3 linked regions of the Coturnix japonica genome follow. The protein of the gene in region 1 purifies or fractionates together with the protein of each later gene. This does not show direct contact. Links are inferred from orthologs where the notes say so. Each region holds a gene or a part of one and is shown in the gene's direction. Other genes may lie near its edges.

What was found.
Region 2: the proteins of PFDN2 (region 1) and PFDN1 purify together in Homo sapiens (affinity purification with mass spectrometry; 5 studies listed by BioGRID and IntAct, counting the BioPlex papers as one, with this or other methods). This does not show direct contact. The link is inferred for Coturnix japonica from reciprocal best matches to the Homo sapiens genes PFDN2 and PFDN1.
Region 3: the proteins of PFDN2 (region 1) and POLR3B purify together in Homo sapiens (affinity purification with mass spectrometry; 3 studies listed by BioGRID and IntAct, with this or other methods). This does not show direct contact. The link is inferred for Coturnix japonica from reciprocal best matches to the Homo sapiens genes PFDN2 and POLR3B.

What each region holds. Positions count from the first base shown.
Region 1 is NC_029540.1:2,483,246-2,487,760, forward strand, and holds the start of PFDN2 (prefoldin subunit 2), read left to right. Parts: upstream 1-1,389; coding exon 1,390-1,461; intron 1,462-1,588; coding exon 1,589-1,650; intron 1,651-3,868; coding exon 3,869-3,992; intron 3,993-4,076; coding exon 4,077-4,250; 3' UTR 4,251-4,515. UniProt on the Homo sapiens protein: Binds specifically to cytosolic chaperonin (c-CPN) and transfers target proteins to it. Binds to nascent polypeptide chain and promotes folding in an environment in which there are many competing pathways for nonnative proteins.
Region 2 is NC_029528.1:15,557,921-15,562,681, reverse strand, and holds the start of PFDN1 (prefoldin subunit 1), read left to right. Parts: upstream 1-1,732; 5' UTR 1,733-1,824; coding exon 1,825-1,857; intron 1,858-2,029; coding exon 2,030-2,196; intron 2,197-2,957; coding exon 2,958-3,032; intron 3,033-3,153; exon of another isoform or gene 3,154-3,287; intron 3,288-3,319; exon of another isoform or gene 3,320-4,761. UniProt on the Homo sapiens protein: Binds specifically to cytosolic chaperonin (c-CPN) and transfers target proteins to it. Binds to nascent polypeptide chain and promotes folding in an environment in which there are many competing pathways for nonnative proteins.
Region 3 is NC_029516.1:49,236,926-49,241,545, reverse strand, and holds the start of POLR3B (DNA-directed RNA polymerase III subunit RPC2), read left to right. Parts: upstream 1-1,591; 5' UTR 1,592-1,652; coding exon 1,653-1,724; intron 1,725-2,034; coding exon 2,035-2,067; intron 2,068-2,741; coding exon 2,742-2,798; intron 2,799-2,880; coding exon 2,881-2,945; intron 2,946-3,428; coding exon 3,429-3,504; intron 3,505-4,620. UniProt on the Homo sapiens protein: Catalytic core component of RNA polymerase III (Pol III), a DNA-dependent RNA polymerase which synthesizes small non-coding RNAs using the four ribonucleoside triphosphates as substrates.

The sequences.
Region 1 (4,515 bases):
ACATTGCCTTAGAACCTCCATTCCTGCCCCACATTGCGCCCTTAGTATTAGCCACGTGCCATACTGGCCCCACATTGCTCACATAGAACCCTCCATACTCGCCGTCACATTGTGTTGCGGCTTAGGAACCCTCGCATTTCTGCGTACCACATTGCCCTCAGAAACCCTCCATACTGCTTCTTCACAGGCTCTTGCCCTTAGAAAACGCCCTCCATTTCTGCCCCACATTGGCCCTTAGAACCCTCCATTCTGCCCCCAACAATTGCCCTCTTAGCAAAACTCATCCCATTCTGCCCCACAATTGCCCACTCTAGAACCCTCCAATTCCTCGCCCCACATTGCCCTTAGAACCCTCATTCTGCGCCTCACATCCTGCCTTAGAACACTCCCATTCGTGCCCCACATTGGCCCTTGACAACGCCTCTCATTCTGCCCCACATTGCCCTTGACAGACCTAGCAGTGACTGCCCTCACAATTGCCCCTTAGAACCCTCATACCGCCCCACATTGCCCCTTAGAACCGCCTCCATTCCTGCTCACATTGCCTTAGACCTCCATACTGCCCCACATTGCCCTTAGAACCCTCCATACTGCCCCACATTGCCCTTACAACCCTCCATACTGCCCCACATGCCCTTAGAACCCTCCATACTGCCCCACTTCCCTTAGAAACCCTCCATTTCTGCCCCCATTGCCCTAATGCCCGTCCATATCTGGCCCCACTATTGGCCCTTTAGAACCCTCCATACTGCCCCACATTGCCCATAGAACCCTCCATACTGCCCCACATTGCCCGCATAGAACCCCCATATACATGACCCTCACGATTGCCGCTACAAACTCCTCCCATAACTGCCCCGACATTGCCCTTAAACCCTCTCATACTGGCCACACATTGCCCTATGAACGCCCCCATACTGCTTCGCCATCGCCCCTAAACACCCTTCAAACAACCCCATAGAACCCCCAACACCCTTCAAACACCCCATAGAACCCCAACAACCTTCAAATCACCCCCCTATTATGATAACCTTCCAACTGCCCTTAAATGCCCACTTTGATTCTCTCTTCCCATTGCCCACAGGATTTCTCCAGAACCCTGTATCCCCCCCCGGCCCGTACAATATCGTTCTCGCGGCCCCGCACCGAGGCGGGAGGCGTGACAGATGAGGGGTCAATGGGCAAAGTCCCTGCCACAACAAGATGGCGGCCGGCACTACCTCACCATATAGCCACCGCTGCCGGGTTTTGAGCCATAACCAAGATGGCTTCCATGGTGTTTCCTGTATACACCGGAAGAGCTTTACTCGCTGTCGCTCTGCGCCGGAAGAGAGGCTGCCCAGTTTCCGGTGTGCGCCGGAAGAGACGCAAAAACGGTGGAGGGGGAAAATGGCGGAACAGCGCGAAAGGGGCGGCCCGGAGCAGCGGGGCCGGGCGGGAAGGCGCTGGACGGCGGAACAGGTGGCGGGGCGGGGTTTGGGGACGGACAGAGGGACGATCCCGGGATCCCAGCGGTGACATCCCCGGTGGTTGTGGTTGTGTGGTTGTTTGAGCAGGTGGTTGGCTCGTTCAAACCGGTTTACGACAGGAACAGCGGCGGCCTGGCGTCCCAACAGGCGGCGGAGCTGAGCTGGAGCTCAACGAACACGGGTGGGGGGGACATCGGGGGGTAACGGGACGGGGGGGGGGGGGGTGGGGCTGGGGTTAGGGGGATGGGAATGTGGGGTTATGGGATTATGGGGGGGTTGTGGGGATATGGGGTGTGGGGAATATGGGGTGGTGGATATAGGGGGGGCGTGGGGACACGCGGGAGGGGTGTAGGGGCATGGGGGGGGTACGGGATATGGGGGGGGGGTGTGGGGACATGGGAGGCGTGGTGGGGGAATATTGGGGGGGTGTGGAGATATGGGGGGTTGGGGGTCATGGGGGCGGTACGGGGATATGGGGGTGTATGGGATATGGGGGGGCGTGGGGGGTATGGGATATGGGGTATGGAGACTGGGGACATGGGGGGCTATAAGGGGGAACATGGGGGTAGGGAAATATGGGGGGTATGGGGACATGGGGTCATGGGGGGGTGTGGGACATGAGGGAGGTACATGTGTATGGGGGTGTAATGGGAGACATGGGGAGGGTGTGGGGATATGGGGGGGGTGTGGGGATATGAGGGGGGTACAGGGACATGGGGGGTATGGGGCTATGGGGAGGTGTGGGGACATGGAGGCATGTGGGGATGGGGGTGTGGAGATATGGGGGTAGGGGTTTACATGGGTAATGGAATATGGGGGGGGGTATGGAGACATGGGGTCCATGGGGGTGTGGGGACATTGGGGGGAGTAACGGTGATATGGGGGTGTATGGGGACATGGGAGGGGTTAATGGGGACATGGGAGGGGGGTGTACGGGGATATGGGTTATGGTGACATGGGGCCAGTAGGGGGGTTATGGGTCATGGGGGTGTGGGGGGAACAACTAGGGGAGGGTATTTGGGGTCATGGGGGGTGTGGGACATGGGAGGCTACAGGGATATGGGGGGGTATGGGGACATGGGAGGCTACAGGGATATGGGGGGGGGTACGGGGACATGGGGGTGTGGGGACGTGGGGGGTATGGGGATATGGGGGGTACGGGGAACATGGGAGAAGTATAACAAGAATGGGGGGTGCGTGGGGGATGTTGGCATTATGAGACATGGGAGGAGGTCATGCGGGGAATAGTAGGGGTGTGGGGACATGGGAGGGCATTGGGGACATGGGGTGTGTGTGGGGACATGGCGCGCGGTATGGGATATGGGGGGTAAGCGGGAGCTTGGGGGGATTGTGGGGACATGGGGGGTATGGGATATGGGGGGTGTGGGGACTTGGGGTTAGGGGGGCAATGGGGGGGGTACGGGGATATTGGGGGGGGGGTGTGGGGACAATGGGGGGGTATGGGGAACGGGGGGGGGTATGGGGACATGGGGTCTTTGGGTGGGGTAGCCGGGGACATGAGGGGTACGGGGATATGGGGGGGGGTGTGGGGACAGTGGAGTGGGGGACATGGGGTGTGGGGACAATGGGGCCCAGTTGTGGGGACATGGGGGGGTATGGGGACATGTTGGGGGTACGGGGATATGGGTAAGCAGTGGTTGGGGGCACCTGGGCAAATGGGTGAGGGGGGAAAAAAAAAGGGGGGGAAAAAAAAACGGGGGACGTTTATGGAATAGGGGCAAGCAAGGGAATGGGGGGGGGCACGGAGGACATTGGGTACCAAGGAGGGGTGGGCAGCAGAATGGGTTTGGGGGGATACTGAAGGGAATGGGAGGGTAATGGGGGTGTAAGGGCGTGGGCTGGGAGAAAGATGGGGGTTGGCAAAGGGATATGGAGGGGGGGTGGTAACAGTGAATGGGGGAGGCATTGGGATAGGGGGAACCAGCGGGGGTGTGGGTGTCAGTGGGATGGGTGTGTGAGGGACGTTGTAAGGGGGGGGGATGTGGGGGGATGGAAATGGGTGTGTGGAAGGTGGGGGGGGACAGTACGGGGGGGGGGGGACGCTGGGGTGTCACTGGGTGTGTGAGGGACACCAGGATGAGGAGACACTGATGTGTCGGGGCACGTTGGGGATATGAGGGGGGACAGTGAGGATGTGGGGGGGGGTCATCGAGTATGGGGGGGTGACTTGGGGAGGATGTGGAGGGCGTATTGGTTGGAGGATAGGAGCTGACACTGGGGTGTGGCGGGGCTTGCATGGGGGGGGGGGCCTCCCTGGATGGAGGAGGAAACATATGAGGAGTGGTGGGAGCGACGCTGTGATGAAACGAGGGATCTGGTTGAACGCTGGGAGCGCTGCAGGGTTGACGGGGGCTGACGGACCCCCCCCCCCCCAACAGCCTCGTGATTGAGACGCTGCGGGAGGTGGATCCCACACGGAAGTGTTACCGCATGGTGGGGGGCATCCTGGTGGAGCGCACTGTCAAGGAGGTGCTGCCCGCACTCGAGGGCAACCGAGAGCAGGTAACTCCAAACCCCCCCGGCACCCACAGACCCCTCCGCTCCCTCCCATAAAGCCCCTAAAGCCCCTCCTCTCTCTCCTCCCAGATCAGCAAAATCATCGAGTCGTTGAGCCAGCAGCTGCAGAGCAAAGGCCGCGAGCTGAACGAGTTCCGTGAGAAGCACAACATCCGCCTGGTGGGCGAGGATGACCCCCGGCAGCCCCCCAAGGACGGCACCGAGGGGGGCAAGGGCGGCACTGCCGGCGTCCTGGTGTCGTAGCCTTGTCCCCCTGCTGCCCCCTGCCCTCGTTGAGTGATTTTGTTGAATAGATGTGGGGATTTTGGGTCACAAGTGTTCTCTAGTTACGGGGCAGAGCCCTGGGAGGTGGCACTGAGGGCGGTGATAGCGGTGGCACTTTGAGGACGCCCTTGAGCTGCCCCATGGCTGCTGGTGGCCGCCTCCTTCCTGCACCACGTCCCTGCTGTGCCCTGGGCTGTGGGGGAGGGGCACACAAAGGTGTCACTTCTGCTGGGGGTGCAGGGGA
Region 2 (4,761 bases), on another chromosome or scaffold:
CAGGCTCTTACCATTCCCTTGATCCTCTGTTTCAGGGCTCGGCACTGATGCAGTTCTACCTCCTGGAAGATGTGAGCCATGGAGCCAGCACTGTCCCTGGGACCCTGAAGTGCAGCAGGATGAGGCTGCATCAGGGTTTACCTGGCAGCTGTGCCTCTGGAGGGAGCTTTGGTGGCCTCCAGATGGAGGGGGCTGGGAGCGATGCTCTCGTGCAGGCTCTGAGCCAAGCCGGCTGCATGGGACTCTCCAGCAGCTTGGGGCAGCCCCTGCAGTGTATGCAAGGGGACGAACTGTGAAAGGCTGGGAGAGCAGGCTCGAGGCTTCCGTGGGCACAGGAGGGGTGGGAGGGTAACAGCTATTTAACAAGAGAATGTTCCTTTTAAATTATATATTTATTTTAGATAAATTGTACATAGTATTTATATTTATTGGAGGTCTGCCTCTGTACCCTTTGTGTAACTCAAGATGACCCTTGTGTGGGTCAGACCTCCTTTATTTTTTAAGTGCAATGTAATATTCTAATAAATAACTTTGTAACAAACACGTGAGTTGTTGATTTAAGAGATGTGGGTCAGGTCTCCAAAGGGTACAGATAACAACTTGCCCTTTATGGTGGGGTACTAAAACTACCCAGGAGCATCTGTGGAGCAGCGGCACAGATCTCAAGCCTGCTGGCCTTGGGGTGCAGCAGGGATAATCCTGCTGGGGTACTCCCTGGAGGGGGGAGGGTTATGGGGAGCTGGGGTGTGGTCTGCCCTGCTCCTTGCCCTGGAACCTGCAGCTGTGGCAGCCCCGCGTGTTCTTGTATCTCGGCTGGCTCATGAATGGCTGCAATGCTTGGGTGAAGCAAAGCCACCTTGAGTTCAGCCACTGCAATCTAAATCCAGTGCCCAGCAGGGGCCTGGAGCAAGGCACTGAGCCCTGCCACCCAGCCTGCCTCCCTCGAGTGCTCCATCCCACTGCTGACACTCCTTGTGCCCCAGCACTGAGCCCTGCAACCTGCAGCACACCTCCTCCTCCACGAACACCGGCTGTTCTCCAGAGCAAGGCTCGTAGGCAGGCAGAATCTTTGGATTTAATTTAAAACCAAATCCAAACCAACACAGTGTGTTACAGCAGCCTGTTTGATAACCAAGTGTTGGTGCAGTGCAGTGCCACCATTGCTCACCTCACAGCCATGATCTGCATGGAGCAGAAGAGCTGCAGCACTGCAGGAGCGGAGCTCGGCCTGCGCTTCTGAGGGAGGCAGCCAAGGAGAAACCCCAAAGCTGCAGTGCTGCCTCCCTTTGGGAACAGCCACAGCCCCGCGGGTGGTTCCATTCCCCCCAGAGGAGCATTGGTGGGATGCTGTGAGGGCTGAGCACCTCCCCGATGAAGGCAGGCTGAGGGAGCCAGGCTTGTTCAGCCTAGAGAAGAGAAGGCTGTGGGGTGACATCATTGCAGCCTTCCAGCATTTAAAAGGGGATAATAAACAGGAGAGGAATCAGTTTTTTACTGGTGTGGACAGTGATAGGACAAGGGGGAAAGGTTTTAAGCCCAAGGAGGGAAGGTTTAGGCTGGATGTTGGGGGAAGTTCTACACATAGAGCGGGGAGGTGCTGGCACAGGCTGCACGGAGGGGCTGTGGATGCCCCATCCCTGGCTGTGTTCAAGGCCGGGCTGGATGGAGCCCTGTGCCATGTATCAGATATGGAGGTCGGTGGGCTGGAACCTGCTGCTCCTCGGCCCCCTCCCACCCCACCCCGCTCTAACCTCCATTCGGCCGCAGCCCGCTCCGCCCCGCCCTCCCACCGCCCCCACTGCGCAGGCGCCGAGCGTGGGGAAGATGGCGGCGCCCGTTGACTTGGAGCTGAAGAAGGTAACGGGTGTCCGGCTCCGTCCGACGTGTTTCTCGGGCCGCTGCTCCCCCTCCTCCCCCTCCTCCCCCTCCTCTCCCCGCAGTTTGGGCCGGCTCGGCCCGGCCGGGCGCCCCCCGCCCCTCTGCCCCCGGCCCGGCCGCAGCCGCTCGACGTGCCGCTCTGCCACCACAGGCCTTCACGGAGCTGCAGGCCAAGGTGATCGACACGCAGCAGAAGGTGAAGCTCGCCGACATCCAGATCGAGCAGCTCAGCAAGAGCAAGAAGCACGCGCACCTCACCGACACCGAGATCATGACGCTGGTGGACGAGACGCGCATGTACGAGGGCGTGGGCAGGATGTGAGTAGCGGCCGCACCGTCCCTGCAGAAGCAGGGATGCTGGGCTCCACGAGGAGCATCGGGGGAGCATCAGTGTGCACCCGGAGTATCGGTGTGCACCCGGAGTATCGGTGTGCACCCGGAGCATCAGTGTGCACCCGGAGCATCGGTGTGCACCCGGAGCATCGGTGTGCACCCGGAGCATCGGTGTGCACCCGGAGCATCGGTGTGCACCCGGAGCATCGGTGTGCACCCGGAGTATCGGTGTGCACCCGGAGTATCGGTGTGCACCCGGAGCATCAGTGTGCACCCGGAGTATCGGTGTGCACCCGGAGCATCGGTGTGCACCCGGAGTATCGGTGTGCACCCGGAGTATCGGTGTGCACCCGGAGCATCGGTGTGCACCCGGGCACGGTGCCCTGGGCAGCACCAGCGAGTGTGTGTCGGGCTGGTGGTGTCCACGTGCCTCAGCATTTGGAAGTGAGCACGAGGCTGATGCGCACTCGAGGAGCCGCCTGCCCGCGCTGGGTGGTGTCTCACACCTCACACCTGCAGTGATGCACCTGGGTTATTCTGGCAGCGCAGCTCTGACTGCAGCAGCCTCATGAAGTGCAACACACAAACTGGGTTCCAGTCTGACGTGTGTGCTGACTCACTGTGCCGTGCTAACTTTCTGTGTGTGCTTTTTCTCTTCCATTGTGAACTGGGCAACAGTGATGATTACGCTTATTCAGGGATGATGTTTTATAGAAGGTTGAATCTGATTTGATTGCTGCCCACAGGGCGATTGCATCTCCCCGCTCCCAACTCTCCTTTGTGCTGCAGCAGACTTGTAGCTGGTTCAGCCTGCTGTTGCGGTGAGTTCCTGGGCCTGATTCATGTCATCACACAATCTGTTGGGTGAGTCTTAGGGAGCTGCGGGCTGGGAAGCCAGGACTGGTATGTGGACTGCGCTTCACTGGTAGTTGTCAGGTAAGACCAATGGGAAAATGAAGCTGTGCCTGGGTTCATCCTGGGCAGCCTGATCTAGTATTTGGCAGCCCTGCCTGCCGCAGAGGGTTGAAGCTCAGTGGTCTCTAGGTCCTTCCCAACTGAAGCTCAGTGGTCTCTAGGTCCTTCCCAACTGAAGCTCAGTGGTCTCTAGGTCCTTTCCAACTGAAGCTACTCTGTGATTTTGATGGGGGGGTGTGTAGCGTGACAGCCTTCTTTGGACCACTGTGGAATTACTCCTGTTAAGTTTTCCAAGCAGATGAACTTGGGTTTGTGTGGAGCTGCTGATGATGTTGAAAGGAGATAGAATTTGCAGATCTCTTGCAGGAGATAGCTGATATGACCCAGGCAGGCTGTAGGCTCATTGTTTTTGTCACAGAAAAGACAAACTAAGAGATTCTGGAAGCAACAATTTTTCTTCAAATTTTTTTTTATTTTTTTATCTTTAATCTTAAAGCAGGGTATACTTCTCCATTATGAAATAATTCCTCAAGATTCTTTGAAAGCATCAATATATCAGCCTTCATTGTAAAATGTTGGTTGTGAATGAGATAATGTTTCTGTGCTAACTGAAAAGTACTGTCCTGCTTTCAACCCAGCTGCTGGAGTCCAGTCTTTTTGAGACTGTACTCTTGCTTACCTTCATGTGACCGGGCAGGTGGTTCAGACTCTGCTGTGCAGCACTTTGCTCCTCAGTGATGGTAGAAAAATACTATCTGCATGATATTAGTCTTCAAATGTTTGAAGTGTGAACTCTTTGCGGGTTCTGTTGTCCTAGTCACTATGCAAATTCAGGTTAAGAGTGCTCATGCTCTCCAAACTACTTATTCACTGATTTATTTTACTTTTATTTCCCCTTCCTTAGCTTACTGCAGTGTTTCTGTGAGTTATGCCTGATTTGGCCATGGGGCTTAAGTCTGCCTTTCAAATTAGTAGTTCTATTTGGGTAGAACGAGCTATTCCAGGACTTTGTGAAAACGGAGTGTTTCAGGAATGTGATGGTGTGCTGTATCCTGGGAAGAAGTCTACCTAGTTCCATACTTCTGCGCTACTTGTAAAGAATTATGTGGTTCCTGCTCTGAGCCCAGAGCCTGCTTCCTGCCCAAGAGGCTTTCCCTGAGCCACTGGCAAATGTGAAAGCCCATTTGTTGTTCCTAAACATTTACTGTAGCTAATTTTGGTTTAACACAACCATTGTCAGTGCCACATAGTATGAGGTGATGAATTGCTGTGTACTGTACATATCTGTTTGACTAGGATATCATCTGAGTAGTGGCACCGTGCCAAATACATTTTCATTCTCTTACTTCATGCTCTTTGAAAGGCTTGTTATCTAGCCTGAGACAACTACCACTGTGGTGGACTCCTGCTTAAGCTATTTGTGAACTGATATCATCGTGCTGCTTTGAGAACTATGCCGAAAGCTTAAGCTTCAGAATTTTGTCTGAATGCTTCCGACCTTTCCCTTCACATTCCATTAAATAATGACCTGGGCCAGCTTCTTACTTACCAAAGGAAAACATCAGGGGTTTATGCTGGGCACAGTGAGGAGACCACTGCAGTTTTTCATGCCATGCCAAAATAGATGTTCCATTT
Region 3 (4,620 bases), on another chromosome or scaffold:
CCTGAGCTGTTGCTTTAGTTGTGGGGAATGCCTCTACATAATGTGTGAGGTGGTCTATTATGACTAATACATATTTATATCTTCCTACTTTAGGAAATTCGGTAAAGTCAATTTGGACTCTAGAAAATGGCCTAGTGGCCAAGGGTCTTCCCCCCATAGGCAGTTTTCTTTGTACGGCTCTGTTTATCTTTAAGCACGTAATACATCCTTGAGTAATATGTCTAGCTAAATTATGTAGGCCTATACACATGTACTTAGTGGCAAAATGATCTATTAAAGCTTGGCTTCCCCAGTGGGTCCGTTCGTGCAACTGGGTCAGCACCTGAGATGCTATTGACTTAGGCAGTACCTCTCTCCCGTCAGCTAAATACCACCTCCCTTCTGTGTTTTTAGTTATTCCCATTTGATTCAGTTTTTGTTCTTCCTTCGGTGTAAACGAAGGGGCCTCATCATGTGTCAATTCTTCCTGCCTCTCCTGCCTCAGGACCAATTCCCTGAGGGCAGCTTGCTTAGCTTCTAGGTCTGCTGCATTATTTCCTCTAGTCTTGTAATCGGTCCCCTGTTGGTGTCCTCTAAGGTGTACCACCGCTATCTTTTTGGTTTCGTAGGCCACTAAGAGTTGCTTTATTAATTCTTGATGTATTAAGTTCCTTGGAATTTATCAATCCCCTTTCTTCCCAAATCTTCCCAAAGGTATGTATTACCCAGCTAAACATATATTGGAATCGGTATAGATAGTGCCCTCTTTTCCCTGTAATCTTTTTAGTGCCTGTAAAACAGCATACAGCTCGCAAGCTTGAGCTGACCAAGTGTTACTCAAGGGTCCTGATTCCAATACCCGGAGGGTCTTTCCATCTACTATTGCATCCACGCCTTGCACACGCGCTCAGCAGGAGTCCAGGCATGAGAATGACTGAGCCAGGCTGTGCCTGTGCTGAAAGCTGAGCAGTGAGGGTGCCTCTGACACGGAGCATCGCTTGGTGACATCTCAGCCTGTAGCTCAGTGATGTCACTGACCAGCACTCAGCCACAGTGGTTTCCTGTCTCCTTTGCAGTATTCCTTTTCCTGGAGGCAGGAGACCTCTACCCCCACTAGCATTGGACCTGCGATTTGGCAGATGAGAGGCTCCTCAACAGCTCCCCCTGGTTTGGGAGGCTGTAGCGGACCCCAGCCACTAGTTGTCCTTTATTTGTCTAGGCTGCCTGCTCTCAACCAGGTGACAGGTGATCACCCCCACCTGTCACACAGACCCTAGCCCATACGCAGACCTCTCACCTGAGCACGTGTAGCCATGGAATTACAGAGTCTACAACATTGCCGTTGTATGGAAAGTACTGACCCATCAGTGTGAGGAGAAAACTGTGTGGACCCATCACCCAGGTTTGCGAACCTGAAATAAATAAGCGTTGTCTCTATTGTGCATGTGATGAGTGACTTGTTGCACATCGGGTGGCATCTGAAAAGAACGAGCGGGGCATTCAAGCGAGGCATGACTTGTTTGGGACGTTTGAGCGCTCGGAACAAGCCTTCAGCAGGGCGAGGCCGGGCCGCCTCGGAACTGTCCGTGCCCGGAACGTTAGTGCTCCGTGCGGAGGAGCAGGGGACGCGTTTGATTGTGGCACCACGTCCCTTATCGCCGGGTCCGGGTGGAATGGAGGAACTGGCGGCGGAGTTGGGCGCCCTGACGGCGGAGCAGGCGGCGGCCCCCGTGAACACGGTGGAGGTGAGGGCAGCGGCGTGGAGCACGGCGTGGAGCACGGCGTGGGGCATGGGGTGGTGGTTCTGCGGCAGTAGGGAACCCTGCAGGCGTCTGGGTGCTGCCCTGGGTCGGTGCTGCACAGCACGTGTGGCTGCTGAGTTGGTCCCAGTCATCCCTTAGGGGGGTTTCTGCTCGTCTGAGCTGACTTTGGGCAGTGTTTGATTCTTTTCTAAATGACGCGAAATGCAGCTGCTGTCACAAACCTTTATCAGCTGTCACAGATGTTCGGTCACCTTGTGGAAACCAACTTTTCCACTGTGTGTTTTGGTTGCAGGAGAAATGGAGGCTCCTACCCGCGTTCCTGAAGGTCAGTGCGATGCACCGCCCCGGGCGGGAACACCCCGAGCCCTTTGTGCTTCACAGTGTGTGTGGTGCAGTGCCGGCAGGTTGTTTAGGCTCCCATTGCACCACAAGGCCCTCCCCGTGGTCTTTATATCAACTCCCTATGGACGCTGCTGTTGAGTCTGCAGTTGTCCTTGTTGCGTTCTGCAGAGGCTGCAGTGTAAGGTTATCTCTGCTCACAACTATCAGAGGTTGGTTGAGCTCAGAAATTGCTTAATTTCAGTGTTACTCTCATAATCTGGTATGAGGTGAAGGCACAGCGTGCAGTCCCTGCAGCCTTTATTTTGTGGCAGCCTAGTAAGTGTGATCCTTGCAGGAAAACAGGGTTCTGTTGGTTTTATGATACTGCATATGAGCAACTGCTCTCTCTTCCTACCTAGAAATCAGATTTATTGTGAGAGTCTGTCCTGTCCTTCTGTGGCTGTTCCCTTCCTTATTGACTTCCTTGACACCCCACTTGTCTGCTCTCACTGACTTAGTGTGGAACCAGACAGATTGCCCAGGCAGCTCTAAGATATTTGTCCACTGAAAAAATGTAACAGTGGTTCAAAAGTGCTTATAAATGCTTATATTTCAATCTCTACCTTATTTCAGTGTTGTTAAAGCTGATGCTATTTGCTGCATACATGTATTTTCCAGGTGAAAGGACTTGTGAAGCAGCACATAGACTCATTCAACTATTTTATCAATGTGGAGGTATGTTTTCTTAGTGGGAAGGGACTGGCTGTTAGGAGTCAGATAAAAAGAAATGGTTCAGTTCTTCTTTTCTTTTTTTCAGATAAAGAAGATCATGAAAGCCAATGAAAAAGTGACAAGTGACGCTGATCCAATGTGGTACTTGAAGTAAGTATAAGGCTGGTTTTCCTAATGAGAATAGCTTGCATACAGTCACATGAGTTTGTTAGTGACTGTGAAGTGTTTACAAGCATCAGCCTGAGCATAAATGGAGCAAAGCTCTTGCATACTTTCCTCTCACTTGGACCACATACACATGGGTGCTTAAAGAATAGTCCTCATAAGTAGACTTAACTCTGTTGTTAACAGTGCCTTATGTCACTATCTTTCTGTAACTTAGCAGTTTCAGGTGAAGGAAATCTGTTTCCCTTCTTGCAAAGGTAATGTGGGTTTGTTTTTGTATGTGCAGCTTAAGTTTTAACTAAAACACTGTTCAAATACAGCAGGTTACTTTGGGATGAATCATTGCTAATTGTTAATCAACCTTCTTTCCCATGAAAGCAAATTCATTTTCTACTTATTGTAGAACTCCTTTTCCTTCAAGTTGCCTGAAAGACATTTGGCTCGTTTTGAGGTTGTTTTGTGTTACAGATACCTCAACATCTATGTGGGTACTCCAGATGTGGAAGAAAGTTTCAATGTGACACGACCTGTATCGCCTCATGAGGTACTGATATTTGTGTCTGTGAGGGGTTATTTGTTTGACCTTAGTAATGCCTTGGATAATTGCTGCATCTGATTTTACTTCAGGCACATGCATGCCTTGTTTCATGATACAACACATGCTACCATGCTTGTAAAAAGAAGCCTCATATTTAAACATGGCATAGTAAATCTTCCTTCTATTATTGCTCTGACGTGTGTTGTATTCAGTGTTTCATGGCAGCTACATTTTACGCTGTAGATCACTTCAGACCCAATCTTCTTTGGAAATACATCTCTTACAGCTTTTAAGTCTAAGTCAGATAGAGAGCAAACACATAACCTTTGAGCAGTTAGAAGTTGAAAATATTTTTCCCCATGTAATGTATGTGGTACACTTCCGACTTTCACAGAGATGTTCTGTGGTTGGGAGAGCTGCTGTAAAAAAGCCCTCTGCTGGTTGTTGTAACATTAAATCAGTGCATTTAAACGTGCACAAAATGAGATGAGAAAGATTCTCCATATGTGAATGAAATTGCACGTGAGAAATTGTGGCTAACAACTCAGGCCTAAGAATGCAGTAATCAAAATTCTTGTCTTGTGTTGTAAAGCAAGGTGATTGTACAAGCACAATGAAGGCAAAATAAATGCTTCAGGGAGCATATTCACCCTGAATTTGGAATAATCAACTCTTGTATCTCAAATCTTCTCACCGACGCTTATTGCTAGACATTGTTTATTTTTTCTTTCAGTGGGTTATAGTATGTTTTATGTGGACAAAGCACACACAAGGAATGCTGAAGCCTTGTTTTCCTCAGATAATACTGAGTGATCTAACTCTCCTTCTCACACAGTTCTTTTGTGAGTTTTGTCAACTGTTTGTACAGATGAATTTGAAGTAATTAGAAATGAATATGTTCTCAATTACTTTTAAATCCAACAAAGTTGCCAGGAGCACAGTGGGATCCCATTTCCTACAAGTCATAGTTTTATATTTGCTTGTACACATCAGTATTTTATTACTAGAGAAATTGTGGAGAGAAGTGGTAGCCAGTTTGCAGTGATTCTTGAGGCATGTTTTTCCCTACAGATACATCCTCAATGCACAGTACTATCTTAATTCCCTTATACTAAAGCATAA